Rhinolophus ferrumequinum: one gene and its partner. The protein of the gene in region 2 purifies or fractionates together with the protein of the main gene of each other region. This does not show direct contact. Links are inferred from orthologs where the notes say so. Each region holds a gene or a part of one and is shown on either strand. Other genes may lie near its edges.

What was found. Proteins that work in one complex are often made in the same cells at the same time.
Region 1: the proteins of EXOC2 (region 2) and EXOC7 fractionate together in Homo sapiens (co-fractionation; 4 studies listed by BioGRID, with this or other methods). This does not show direct contact. The link is inferred for Rhinolophus ferrumequinum from reciprocal best matches to the Homo sapiens genes EXOC2 and EXOC7.

What each region holds. Positions count from the first base shown.
Region 1 is NC_046304.1:50,885,238-50,892,442, reverse strand, and holds the start of EXOC7 (exocyst complex component 7), read left to right. Parts: upstream 1-4,095; 5' UTR 4,096-4,112; coding exon 4,113-4,253; intron 4,254-4,444; coding exon 4,445-4,510; intron 4,511-5,663; coding exon 5,664-5,848; intron 5,849-6,045; coding exon 6,046-6,151; intron 6,152-7,205. UniProt on the Homo sapiens protein: Component of the exocyst complex involved in the docking of exocytic vesicles with fusion sites on the plasma membrane.
Region 2 is NC_046292.1:93,602,782-93,609,891, reverse strand, and holds the start of EXOC2 (exocyst complex component 2), read right to left. Parts: upstream 3,093-7,110; 5' UTR 2,824-3,092; intron 2,622-2,823; exon of another isoform or gene 2,470-2,621; intron 1-2,469. UniProt on the Homo sapiens protein: Component of the exocyst complex involved in the docking of exocytic vesicles with fusion sites on the plasma membrane.

The sequences.
Region 1 (7,205 bases), on a different chromosome or scaffold from region 2:
GTCATCTTCCACGTCCAGACAGTGGAGAGCCTCTTGCCAGTGTCAGAGCAGGTGTCCTGGAGGCAAAAGTTGACCAGGCCCAGAGACAGCCGAGGGGCTGGGGAATAGCGGGGTATCTCTTAGAGCCACTCTCCCACTTTAGGATCTAAAATGCCCCTGGCCAGACAGAACCTCCCCAAGAGCCTAGGCTGTTATGGCCTCCAGGCCCACCATCTTGCCAGGTGAGACTGTGCCTGTGGCCCCAGAATGTTCCATCTGGTCCCAGGAGTATAGCGCACCCTACCTCCTTTCCCTCGCCCCACTCTGGGACATGTACCTACGAGCTTGTCTGACCCCTTTGGTCCTCCCTCTATGCCCCTGCTCCCCCCTCACCCTCGTGGATTTAGTCATCATGTAATTATTTGCTTATTTGTTCATCACAGATTTGTTGGGCACCCTCTCTGCGTCCAGCTGGATGCCTGAGAGGCAACCCTATAGAAGACAAGCCCAGGTCTTCCTGTCACCTGCATGATAGCATCTGTCCTGGAGGCCTAGCTTTCCTCTCACTTTGTCACTCATCTGTGAAGACCAGTTGCTTCTTCCCTGCCTTTGATCTGCCCTCAGCTGGGCTCCATCCACCTGGTCACTCCTTGGCTCCAGCTCTGACCTGTGAGGTCCTTCTTTTTGGCAGTGGGCCCTGCTCTCTGCTGGCCACTTCACAGGCTCCAGCAGGAAGACTCAGGATCCAGCTTTCCAGCCCTCCCATTCCAGGGTCACACTTTTCCTCCATCCCTCAAGTGGGCATTGTTCCCTGGTGACGTCCCAGTCTTTTTGGGGACCTGAATTCAAACCACTGTACTCAGGGGACATTTGATTCGTGGTTGTGAAAATGATTTTAAAGCTCACCTGAAAAAAATAAACAAAATGAGAATATCTAGGAAGTTTTTTTCAGGGGAAAAAAAAAGGCCAAGAAGGAAATATTAAACATTAAATATACAATTAAGTTGAACCAGGCTTGCATACCTGAAATAAATCCCACTTAGTCATGGTAGGTAATTCTTTTTACACATTGTTGGATTTTATTTGCTAATATTTTGAGTATTTTCGCATCTGTATTTATGAGAGATACTGGTCTGTAGTTTTCCTTTCTTGTAATGTCTTTCTCTGGTTTTAGGATTAGAGTAATGCTGACCTCATAGAATGAGTTTGGAAGTATTCCCTCTGCTTCTATCTTCTGAAAAAGATTGTAGAGAATTGGTGTCATTTCTCCATAAATATTTGGTAGAATTCATTGGTGAAACCATCTGGGCCTGGTGTTTTCTGTTTTGGAAGCTTATTAACTGATTCAATTTCTTTAATAGTTATAGGTCTGTTAAGATTATTTGTTTCTCCTTGTGTGAGTTTTGGTAGATTGTATCTTTCAAGAAATTGGTCTGTTTCACCCAGGAATCAAATTTGGGGGCATAGTGTTATTCATAATATTCCTTTATTAGCTTTTTAATGTCCATGAGATCAGTAATGATGCCCCTATTTCATTTCTGGTATTAGTAATTTGTGTTTTCTCTCTTTTTTCTTGCCTGACTAGAGGGTATCAATTTTATTGATCTTTTCAAAGAACCAACTTTTGATTTCCTTGATTTTTCTCTATTAATTTCCTGTCTTTGATTTCATTGATTTCTGCTCTAATTTTTATTATTTCTTTTCTTCTGCTTATTTTGGATTTAATTTTCTTTTTCTAGTTTCCTAAGGTGGGGGCTTAGATTACTCATTTTAGATCTTTTTTCCCCCTAATGTATGCATTCAAGCTAGAAATTTCCGTCTAAGCACTGTTTTCACTGCACCTCACAAATATTCATTAGTTGTGTTTTCCTTTTCATTTAGTTCAAAATTAACCATGAGATGCCATGTTTCATTTATCAGATTAGAAAAAATGTTAAAGTTTGATAATACATAGTGTGGGTTAAGGTGTGGGAAAATAGGCACATTTATACCTTACTATTGGAAATATAAGTTAGTTCACCATTTTGGATGGCAATTTGTACATATCTATAAAACTTTTAAAGGTTATATACATTTTAATTTAGTAATGTATAGATAAGATGTCCATACAGAAGTGATCATACACAAGCCATCTGTATATGGGATAGAATTTCCAATAGCAAAAGACCCAAGTGTCCATTAATAGAGGATTGCCTGAATATATCTATTCAATGAAAGTCTATACAGAGAATGGAGTATATCTAATACTAATATTGAAAGATGATTAAGGTATACTGTTAAATGAACAAGCAGGCTACAGGAAAGTGTGTTTAACGTGATAGCATTTGTGTTCTGTTTTAAAAAAAAATAGAAAGAAGAGCTTATTTTATGCTTGATTCGTATGAACACATCTGGAAACACATCATTGCTGTTCCCTCTGGGACAGAGGTGCTTGAGGGTCGAGGAAGAGCAGGGCACCTTTTGTTTTTCACCATGTACCTTCTTTACCGTTTGAGTAGGATTACATTTAATTTGAAAAACTAGTTTTAAAACCAAATTGCAGATTTGAGCCCACAGGAGGCTGAGAGCACGCTCAACCTTTCCTTTGCTCTCTCTTCGTTGTAAGACAGCATGCAATAGGCTGTCCACTCCTGGGCTTTGTACACCCTGGTCCTTTCTCTCATTTTATATCTAAGAGGAGTTAAAAAAAAAAAAAAAAAAAAAAAAAAAAACAAACAAACAAACAAAAAAAAAACTCTTGACCACTCTGCCAGATGGCACTGTTGATGGCTGGTGGTTTCGAAATGAGGAAAAGAGACTATTTTTGATCATTACAGAAAAAAGTAAAATTTGTTCTCTTAGAAGTGTTTTGATAGAAAGGTAATTTAAACTCATCATCTTTAAAAACTAGAGAAACTGAACATCCCTTGTACTCTACTACTTACTATTTTAGTGTTTTGTGCTGTTTCCCTGAATGTTTTTTTTTTCAATGCATCTATCATATTTTAAATGGCTGTAATCCCAGGGAACATACACTGTTGTGGTTGTTTACGTCATAGCATCCACATTTTCAGATGGCTACAGGGCCAGGAAACATTAATTTGGAGGAATGTTACACTTGATTCCTCAGAAAGAACACAAAGTCTGGAATTAGGATGTTACCAAAGAACACGCTGTTGGGGGAGGGAGCTCTTCCTCCCTCCCTCCCTCTGGAAAGAGAATCTCTCTGAGCGGGCAGTGGGGCACTTGGCTGTGATTGGCACCTTTGTGCTGTGTACAAGTTTGTGAAGGAAAATCAAGGCTTCTGAGGCTGCAGCTGAAATACTACTTGCTTCTTTTGGTAAAGCAGCTTGTGTTGAGGATAGTTGGGGAACTACAGCTTTTATAGATTCAATGTCTACTTGTCAACACATGCTTGACATTGGGTTGAGAATAATTTAAACATCTTTCCATTCTGTCTACCTTTTCCTAGATATGGTGGTCATAAATATACCCTGCTATTCACACTGGATTTTCTTGAAAATCAGATTGGCAGCTTTGCATAGCAACAAACAAAACTCCTGAGCTACCCAGCATGGGGGGGCGGGGTGTAGAGGAGAACCCTCTCCCAGCCAGCTGTGTTGATTTAGTGCAGCTGACTCTAAGCTTGAGCTTCCTCATTGGCAGAAGGAAGGCAACAGCTGTGCCCAAAGTTTATTGTGAGGATTAGACAAGATAACGAGTAAGGATGGTGTTTGTAGCAGAGATGGGCAAACAGAAGACTTTCAATACATGGCAGCTGGCTACCAAATTAACTTAGTGAAGGAAATTTAAGAAGATACAAAAAGCACACACGTATATAGTTCATTTACAAAAATGCAATGATACTATACAAAATTCAAAGTATTCAGTCATAGAGGATTCCCTTCCTAAGACCTATACAGCAAGATGTTTTCAATATTTTTCTTGAGCATCTACTATGGGCTAGGTGCTGTTCAGAAAGGTTAAGTGTTGAGTGAAGCTCTCCGGGCTGGTCCACAACAGCCACACTTCCCAGCCACACCCAAGATGGCTACTTGCTCCAGCCGGTCACTGGGCTCCGCGCAGGAGCACTTCCGCCTGCCTCTCCCAACATGGCACCACCAGCGAGCTCTGGGGCGGGGCCAAGGGCGGAAATGGGTGTGATAGGGACGGGAGCCGAGAGGGCACGCACTCTGAGACAAAATACTGGAAGTGGGAGCCTCAGGGTCGAAGGGATGATTCCCCCGCAGGAGGCGTCCGCCCGGCGGCGGGAGATCGAGGACAAGCTGAAGCAGGTGGGACTGGGGCTGGGAAGGTGGTGGAGGAGGTGAGGGAAGGAGCCGAGATCCGGGCCGGGGCATATACTCACGGAGGAGGCAGGGGTGGGTGGGAGCGCTCCCTTCAAGGAGATGGGGTTGGGGGCGAGAGCGCGGTGATCTCCTTTAGCTTCCGGCTTCTGCTACTATCGTCCCCTCCGCTTCCCCAGGAAGAAGAGACGCTGTCCTTCATCCGAGACAGCCTGGAGAAGAGCGACCAGCTCACCAAGAACATGGCAAGTAACGCCTCGGCTGGGAGGGGCTGACAGGCCTCCAGACCTTGGGGGGGAGCCCTGCGACCTGCGGTTCGGTCTATAAGGCCTGAGGTTCTGGCCCGGCTAATGATGGTGGTCGCGTGTGGGTTTCTCTAGCAACCGTGTGGCTTGTCTCTTACTTCGCTGCCTTCCCCTTGTCCGCCGCTTCACTGAGGATGCTGCAGCCCCTCTGGCCTGGACTTTCTGCTTTCTGTTCAAGTTCTCCATTCTTCCTTCTGTCTTTCTGCAAACATTTAGTGAGACTGACTTTGGTGGGCTGGGTACTGGTCACGTGGCAGCCTTCAGTTGGAGGGATGGTGGGATGGGAGGGATAGAGCACTTCCAAGATGAGGAGGGCAGGGGAACTCAGCCGTCACGCCTGGAGGGCTGTAGGGGTAGAACAAGCTTTGAAGTCAGATAGATCTAGGATCTAGCCCTCCCCCTCCACTTATTTGTGTATGGCTCCTGACAGGTAACTCTGGGCTTCAGTTAACGCATCCGATAAGACAGCCACTGTCAACCTCCCAGGGTGGCTGTGAAGGTCATAGGAGCTAATGCATGGGCTAACACATCTTGCACAGTACCTGGTATACAGTAGGTGCTCAACAGATAGCAGTTTCCTTCCTTATTTTCAGAGGAGACTGGAAAAGCACAAATTGAGTAAATACAAACTTGGGTATGTATTTAATAACATAATCGTAAAGTCCTATTCCTTATTGAATGACACTCCCCCTTAGAGAGGGAGGGTTTTGAAGGTACCAGCAATGCATTTGAGCCCCTCTATATGAAGTTACTTCCTGTTCAGTGTAGGAAAGCTTCAGAGAGAACAGAAATAGAGATTTAGCTTCAAAGGGTGGAAGGGAAGCCATCCTGGGGTGATTAACTTAGAAGAAGTTAATTTGCTGCTTGGCTTGCCTTCAAATCAAACTTCATCCAATTTATTTGAACCACCTCCTATGGTTCGGCACATGGGACGTGCTCAGGCTACAGAGATGAACAGGTACACCCTGCCCCTTCCCTCACAGAGCTTGGTGTCTAGAAAACCAGAGAAAAACGCAGCAAATGCCACGACCCGATGGGTAGAAGCGGTGCTGGGACCACCCTGAGGTCTGAGAGCACGGGGCTTCCCCCGCAGGTGTCTATCCTGTCATCCTTTGAGAGCCGCCTGATGAAGCTGGAAAACTCCATCATCCCTGTTCACAAGCAGACAGAGAACCTGCAGCGGCTGCAGGAGAATGTTGAGAAGACTCTGTCCTGCCTGGACCACGTCATCAGCTACTACCACGTGGCCAGTGACACTGAGAAGATCATCAGGGAGGGGTGAGCCAGGGCCAGAGGGTCACATTCCTAACGCCTCCTGGACCAGTGGCCATAGGCCTTGGGAGGGAGGGGTGGAATGTATTTGAGCCTGGAGTCCCTTGTGTTACTTCTTTTCTTTCCCCTTTCTATTACCATTCCCTTGGTCCTTCTCTTCATCTTCCATCCACCCAGGCCGATCTGGCTCTTTTCCTTCCCAGCCCCACAGGTAGGCTGGAAGAATACCTGGGAAGCATGGCCAAGATTCAGAAGGCTGTGGAATATTTCCAGGACAATAGCCCAGACAGCCCAGAGCTCAACAAAGTGGTAAGGGACCAGCAGGGTAATATGAGAGCGATGGGGACACCAGTCACTGCCCTGGTCTCAGGAGAGACTAAGCCAGCTTCAAAAAGGCTATAGTAGAATAAACAGAACTATATAATACAGTTCACAGACTGTAGTCATGAAGACCTCTGCCTCAGGAATGACATCATACGTTTTTGTTACATTTGTATAATTTAACTAAATTATAAATTACATATAAAATGTAAATTTAACATTTGATTTATATAAACGCATTTGTGGGGTTTTTTTTAATGTGGTAAAAATACATAACATAAAATTTATAATTTTTAAAGTTATTTTTGATTACAGTGGACAAACAATATATTCATTTCAGGTGTACAACATAGTGATTAGACATTTATATAATTTACAAAGTTATCACCCCAATAAGTCTGGTACCCATCTGACATCATGCGTACTTATTGCAATATTGACTCTATTCCCTATACTGTGTTTTACGTTTCCGTGACTCATTTAATAAGTGGCGGTTTGTATTTCTGAATCCCTTTCACCTTATTCACCCATCCCCCCAACACCCCTCCCAACTGACGAGCGCCAATTTGTTCTCTGTGTGTATGAGTTTCTTTCTGTTTTGTTCGTTTGTTTATTTTGTTGTTCAGATTTCACGTGTAAGTGAGATCAGATGTTATTTGTCTTTTCTCCGTCTGACTTATTTCACTCAGCATAACACTCTCTAGGCCCATTCATATTTTAACCATTTTGAAGTGAACACTTCAGTGGCATGAAGTACTTTCACATTGCTGTGCTGCCATCACCACCGTCCATCTCCAGAACCCTTTTCATCCCAAACTCAAACTCTGATCCATTCAACAGTAACTCCCCTTTCTCCTCTCCCTCCAACCCCTGGCAACCATTATTCTACTTTCTGTCTCTATAAATTGGACTATTCTGGGAACCTGAATTCATGTTTTTACATTTGACTTTTTGCATTGTATCTTTGTGTGTAAGCATTGGGGTTATTAGGTCACTAGAATAAGATGGGGTAAGGCTGAGAAGTGAAGTTTACTCAGTGCAT
Region 2 (7,110 bases):
CGGTTTCAAATTCCCGTGCCTGACCTTCAAGGCACCCCATAATCCAAAATGCTCTCATTTACCAGCCAGCGAGCCTTTGTTCCTGGTGTGCTGCCCAGATGTTCACCTGCCTTCCCTCTGAAGGGCAGCATCACAGGCTGACTTCAATGAAGCCTCCCAATTACTCCACCCCAATACACGCTTCCCTTCTCTGAATTCCTGCTGTACTTAAACTCAGTACTATAGTTTAGTTCTTAGCCATTCTTTGAGAGGGCAAAAATGCCCCTTCTGAATGTAGGCTAACATTGTTTTATTTCTAATGTGTGTGTCAGGCTGTATGCTAAAATTGGGAGATACAAAAATGACCGAGACTAAACCCTGTCCAACAAGAGCTTAGTCTTTTGACAGACATGTAAATACCAGTCATAGTTACAGCCCCTACGACAAGGATAAGACAAGTGCTAAGTGGTTATAGGATTCACTGAGTTGGAAATTTCCAAAGCAGGAAGAACTCTTAGAAATAATCTAGTTTTGTATATTCTCTGACTACAGGGAAAAGAAAACTGAAGCCCAACAGGCTAAGTAACTCAGCTCAGGCTACAAAGCAGGTGGGTGGTAGTGCATGGACTAGTAAATGGTTGTTTCGACTACTAAGCCAAAATACCTTTTGACTAATTTTCAAACTGAAATCCAAGGATGCCATATGAGTATGTCCACAGCTTCAAGATTCATCCGTTCTCTACAATTACTTTAATTTTATGTGGTTTTATCAATAATTCTTTTAAATTAACATAAACATATACTGAATCACGTGATTATAACTGAACACTACTACCACTGGATTTCACCAGGCACTCCAGGGGATCCATGGGCACATTCCCCAGGGTCTGAGAACAAGCAACACTTCTAGCATACTGCTTAGCAGAGTCATCAATGTTATTTCCCTTTCCAGTCAATTGCAAAATCCTCTCTACTCAACACTGGCCTATAACTCATCCATTCAATAAATATTTAAGCTCCTCTATGTGCTAGATGCTGTACCAGGAATCCAGGATAGATGAGAAGTAAGCTGGTGAATGGGCGAAAAAGCATGAGTAACTGAGAGATTAATTGTGTAACTAGCATTTCCTATATGGCCTAATTCTGCTACTGGATGACACTAGAAACTGTTCACGGTCCTTTACTAGAAGGCTGCCTTTGCAAAATTTTTTGAGTACCAATTTCATTTCCCGTAAGATTCATATACAACAGGTTCTCAAATGTCTATGGAATGAAAATTTAACTTAGCAGGTTAATAATCATCTTTTTGAGAGGTGATATTAATAGTTCAAAGTGATATTCAGTACAGGAAATACTTGACAAAGAAAAAAATTATTTTCTGAAACTTCCAATAGTTGTTCCAAGTTACACTGGAGGATCCTGCTTCTCTGCTTAAAATTAGTAAGTTTCTACTTAAATAGAACATTTAAGTACTAAACACATATCATCCTCTTTCTATTGCCACCCTTTGAGTCAACTTTTAACATACAGGTAATCCCTGGGAAGCTTTTGGGTTTCAGTTCCTTTGCCATTAGAGTCATTTACACAGAGCCTGGCCAGACTATGATAACATAAAGTATTGTTTACTCATTAGGACACAGATCCACGTTCACCTCAGTGAGCACTAGCATTTCAATATAGTGCACCCAAACGATTTAATTAAGGTGTGGCTGATTTTTAAAGTATTTTTTAAAGTTTTCCTTGTAGGTTTACTCGGATTCATAAAAACAATGAAAATGTTATTTTCATACTCATTAGTATGATTAACCTTTAGCAATTAAAAATAGCTTATTTCCATTTTAAGACAAGCTCTTTCAAGAACTGTTTATTGGAGTTAAAAAAGTGTCTATTTACTAAATCTTGCGATACCAAGGTAAGCAAGAGAGAGCTTACCTTGGAGACAGCACAGTGGTTTGGGGGTGCAGGCACTGAGTAACTAACTATACTGCAGGCTAGTTACCTAACCAAGCTCAGACCCCAGTCTGAGCTTGTTCCCCCTTCTGGAAAATGGGTATACTGCAACAGCACCTACCGCTAATGGGATTAAACCAGTCAGTAAATGTTAAATGCTTACAACAGTGATTGACACCTAGAAGATGCTCGGTATTGCTCTAAACTGATGCAAACCTAAGCAAAACGTGCCTCACATTCGCTCTGCGAACAAATTCTGAAACCTAACTCCGCGACAACGACGCAGGCGCGCAAGGCAGCAGGTGAGGCGAACGAGGGCCAACGTCCCGGAGGCCCGGGTCCCGCGAGGGGCGCGGACCGCGGACGCGACGGCGCGGCTCCCTCCCCCTCACGGTCAGGGACTGGAGAGCCGGACGAGGGGCTGACCACGGGCGCCGGCGGACCGCCACTCCCGCCCGCCTCTCCAGGAGCGAGGCTCGCCCCCTGCCCGGCCGCGCCTCCCCGGGCGGGCCCCCCGCCGGGACCTCCAGGACCACATACCTGCAGCCGGCCTGCCGCCCCTCAGCCCGCTCCGATAGGGCTCCGGCCGCTCTCGGAGCAGCTCTCGGGTCGCAGCCCCACCGCCGCGGCCCGCCACTTCCGCCCGCTGGGAGCGCCGACGGCGTCGATCCGCCGAGTAGTAGAGCGCCGAGTTTTCGATGAGCCGCCCTCTGGGGAGGAGAGCGCGGCGGGCGGCGGGCGGCGGGCGGCGGGCGGCGGGCGGCGGGCGGCGGGCGGCGGGCGGCGGGCGGCGGGCGGCGGGCGGCGGGCGGCGGGCGGCGGGCGGCGGGCGGCGTGGGGGGGGGGAAGGGGGGCAGGATGCACGTCGCTGGGTGCGCGGTGCGCTGTTCTTACCCTTGCCCTCAGATACCTTCCAGGAAGCGGAGGAGGGCCCTCGGGGCGTTTGTGGTGGGCTCTGCGCTGGCTCAGGACGCCGTGACTCCCCCCGAGGCCCGGAGAGGCTAAGTGACACACAAAAGCCACAGGGCCATGCAAGTTACGGAGGAGAATGCCAGGCTACAGCCTGGAAACCCTGCGGGTTGATTGTTTAAATTCAACAAACTCAGTGAGCACCTCTATGGCCTAGGCGCTGTGCGGGTGCGCTGGATACACCCAACGGCAGTCACTTCCTTCCAGGATCTCGCGGGGCGGGGGGTAAACCGTACCGGGGCAAGAGGAAAAGAAATGTCACAGCGACTGCAGCAGTCTGCAAGAAATTACCGTGGCCATGGCGGGGATGGGAAAAGGTGGTGACGAAGATGAGAAAATACTCTTCTGGTTGCTTCTATTTTGTTAGCAAAAGAAGCAGCAAGGTCATCCGGGAATAGGAAGGATGAGGGACAACGGAGGTTTGAGGAGAAAGAGTGAAATCTTAGTATTGGATTTTGTGAAGCATATTACTAAGAAAACGCGGTAAGATTTCCAGGCAGGACTGAAGGCCTTCTTGGGATATGCTGTCCTAAGTTTAAAATGGAGCCAGTCATCATGCTTGTCCATTTTTGGCTGTTCTGGTGTAGGTAGGTAGTTGAAAATTAGTGTAACGAAGGTTGGAGTTTTACAAGGCATAAGGAGCAGGGAGCAAAGGAGTTGAGAGTCTATGCAAAGAAATGGCATAATGGAGGACAATGGAGTTTAAGCTCACGTGATGGGGTTTTCAGAGGGATTTTTCTAGTTGTCCTGGAACTGGCCACTTAAACTGGAAAAGGCGGCAGTTAACTAGGGTGACCCCAGTGACATAACTGAGTCTTTTCTGGTATCCTGGCTTAATAATAAAGAGTGCCCCTTTTACTGTCAAAAGTGTCCCTGTTTGGATGATGTATGGTCACCCTAAAGTCACTCCACATTATAAAGAGAGGCCCAAACTATTGGGCTCAGATACTCCTTCAAGGCGTGGAAGGGATTCACCCAAGTATCTGTGAGACTGGTTGGTACTGGCTGACCTGAAGCATACTGGGAGCTGTGCTTGCTGCCATCGTAGTGGAGCTGAGCATGGGGGCAAAGTTCTTGGGAGAGCTGGCCTGCCATTTGGACTATATGGGACCCAGAGTATCCCGTCTGCTTCCGGTCTAGAAGTTCCCAAAGGTAGGAGACCTGTTGGCGTGGCTGGTTACAGCTGAATGGAGAGGAGCGTAGCCATGGGCAGAGGCAGAGCATGGTGGGGCCTTGCCAGCTTACCCCAAGAATTGACATGTGCACCTCACAGAAATTTTGTGTTTGGCCAATCTGTATGTGTCACATGAATGCCCACCAGAGAGCATCTGCAGCAGGGAGCCCCTGTACCCAGGATGATTTGACCAGCCTCTGTCCTGGATCACCTCAGTGTTTTAGAATGGGCCTATGAATGGGGAAGCCATGGTGGCAGGGATGGAGCTACACGTACTCCTGCCAACAAGGTGATCTAGACAGTGCGACCACCCCCTTCAGCTACAGTGGGCCAATGTGCATTGTGCTTCCCTCGAAGAGACCAGGCAGCCATTTGGTGGCAAGTTGGTTTTCTCAGACCCAGATACTTATCCTGGGTTTGGGTTTATCTTCCCTACCTGCACGGCCTGGCAAGCATCACTGTTGAATTGCTCACATAGTGTCTGATCTATCATCGTGGAATTGCCCAGGATATCACCTAGGATCAGGGACCTCTAAAGAGTGAGAGAGGTCCGACAAAGGGGACTATCCCACAAGATCACTGATTGTGCCACACATCACACACCCAGAAGCTGCCATCCTGATAGAACATTAGAAGGGCCTCTGAAGGCACAACTGAGGCTCCAGCTTGAGGAGGGCATTTTGCAGGTTAGGATGCTGTGCTATGGTATGTACTACGTATTTTCAATCTAACACCATCGTATGGTGCTGTGTCCCTCATAGAGTCCTGGCTCCTCCAGCAGGGGAGGACGCTCTGCTGGAGGAGCCAGGGGACACAAAGTTCACCTAAATCTAAAGCCTCTCTTTATTTGTGTTCCTCAGTCAACAAAAAACTGACCCTTATTATCAGGAGGAAATAGGGGCAGGGAAAATTATTTCTGGAACTCAGGACATGCACTGGACATCTTTTTCATGCCTGGTGATATCAGTTAATGGGCAATGCAGCAACCCTGGCCTGACAGGGGCATGGCAACCAGGGCCTAGACCCATGTCTGGGATGAGGGACGCAGGGACAAAGCTGTGGGCCACTTCATCAAGCAGCCCAGGCCAGCAAAAGTGCTATTTGAGGGTGAGGGAATCTAGAATGGGTGATCAGGGAGGAAATAATGGAAATCATCATGACCTCAGAACCTACAGTGGCAGGACCCATAGCTCTGCTTATCAATACCCCTGATGTGGGGATGACTGGACATCAGCGTGAAAAGTCAGTGACAGGACAGACTGAACACAACATGGCATGCAAGGGATGGACAGTGGCAGAGGCCATCAACCTTAACCCATATTTCTCTGCTGTACCCTCTGCTTTCTGGGAAAGCCTGCCCACTTGTGCCTCTGGGCTTTCTTCCTGGAACCAGGACAAGCTGGAAGCACTAGGCAGTTCATGGGACCACATACAGGCTTCAGCCAGCCAGTCTGCCTCCCTCCTGGAGTAGCTCAGATGCGTGTTATTCAATGTATTCCAGAGCTGCCCTTGACACAGCTCCAGCATCTTCAGGAATGGCTTCATAGCACATTTTTTATTGGCTTCCTTTCCTTTCCCCACCTGGCTTCCCCACTCTCCTCCTGGTGTTTCCTGGTATCACCTCCCAAGTTAAATACTAGCTCTTGAAACCATGTCTCAGGGATGGCTTCTGCAGGAATGCAGCCAAGATAGTCATTATCACAGACTGAAAACAAACTATACTTATTATTACTCAAATATCTTTTATGTGCTGAATTTGCACACCTATCAGAGAAATACAGCCCAAGAAAAAGAAGTTGATACTTCGTACAGCCCCCTTGAGTCCTGGGACTTAGCATGACTTTATTTTTTTGTCCTTTACATCGGAAGACAAGTCAAAATGTTGCTCAAGCACGCAATTTCTCAACTGTCCCAGGATCATCCATTTTAAAACACACAGGAAACATGAGTCAGAGACCTGGCAACAGAGGTTGAAAGGAAATTAAGTTTTCTGTATCCCTGGCAGTAGTACCCCACTTCACAGTGAAACTAAACCCTTTTCTTGTCTCCCCTTAAGGTCTCAGTGACAGGCCATTTCTCAAGTTAGGTGATCCTGCCATAAGCTGGTATGAATGGCACTTGAGGACTCACAGATCTTTCCTTAATAAAAAAAGAAGGAGAAGAAGGAGAAGGAGAAGAAAACTACTGTATTACTGAAACAACAACACTCAAAAGAGGAAAGAATCTTTCGCAAATATGAAAATTACTGGTGGTGTTTTCTTTCTTTTCTTAAACTTCTGGTCTGTATTCTAAAGCCAGCTAGCAAATGTTGGCACAGTATATGCAGAAACTAGCAGCAAATAAAATAATTACACATAAAATTGCAGCAGTAGCTTTTGAGGCAATTAAATATCATTATAGCTTTGTGTTTTCAATTCTGCATGAGATTTAGTTTGACCTAGAAAAAATAACTTTGACGCATTAAATTCCTTTGGTTTTAGTCTTAAGAAATACTATGACAGGCACAGTTTCCTGTTCTTTAGATTTTTTTTTTTAACATTAAATGAACACCTAAGTGTTTCATAGTGCATGGCATATCAGTTTGTGATGGACCATAATTTGTATAGACTCTAATCCTCAAAACAACTATAATTTGCCATACCTTAGCAATCTTTTTTACCAAAGACTGACAATTGTTTGGTCTTCTGTTAACTCAGATTATAAGTCCCTTGCTGGCAGCTTCCTGTCTTATTCATCATTGTAGAGCCTTATATAGCAGGTATTTAATACATCAGCCACCCAGTAATAGCACTAACCACAACCTGTAAATATATTATCTATTTCTTCACTTTTTTTTGGTCTGCTCCCACTAGGATATGCGCTTCTTGAGGAAAGGGAACTTTGTATTGTTCACCCATGTCTCATACATGGTAGATGCTCAACAAATAAGTGTTGAATGCAAAACTAAAAAAATAATGACTAATACATTATGATAGTGGCAGAGTTGTGGGGGATCTGTGTTTCCAGTGATGTAGTTACATTATATTACATTTACATTT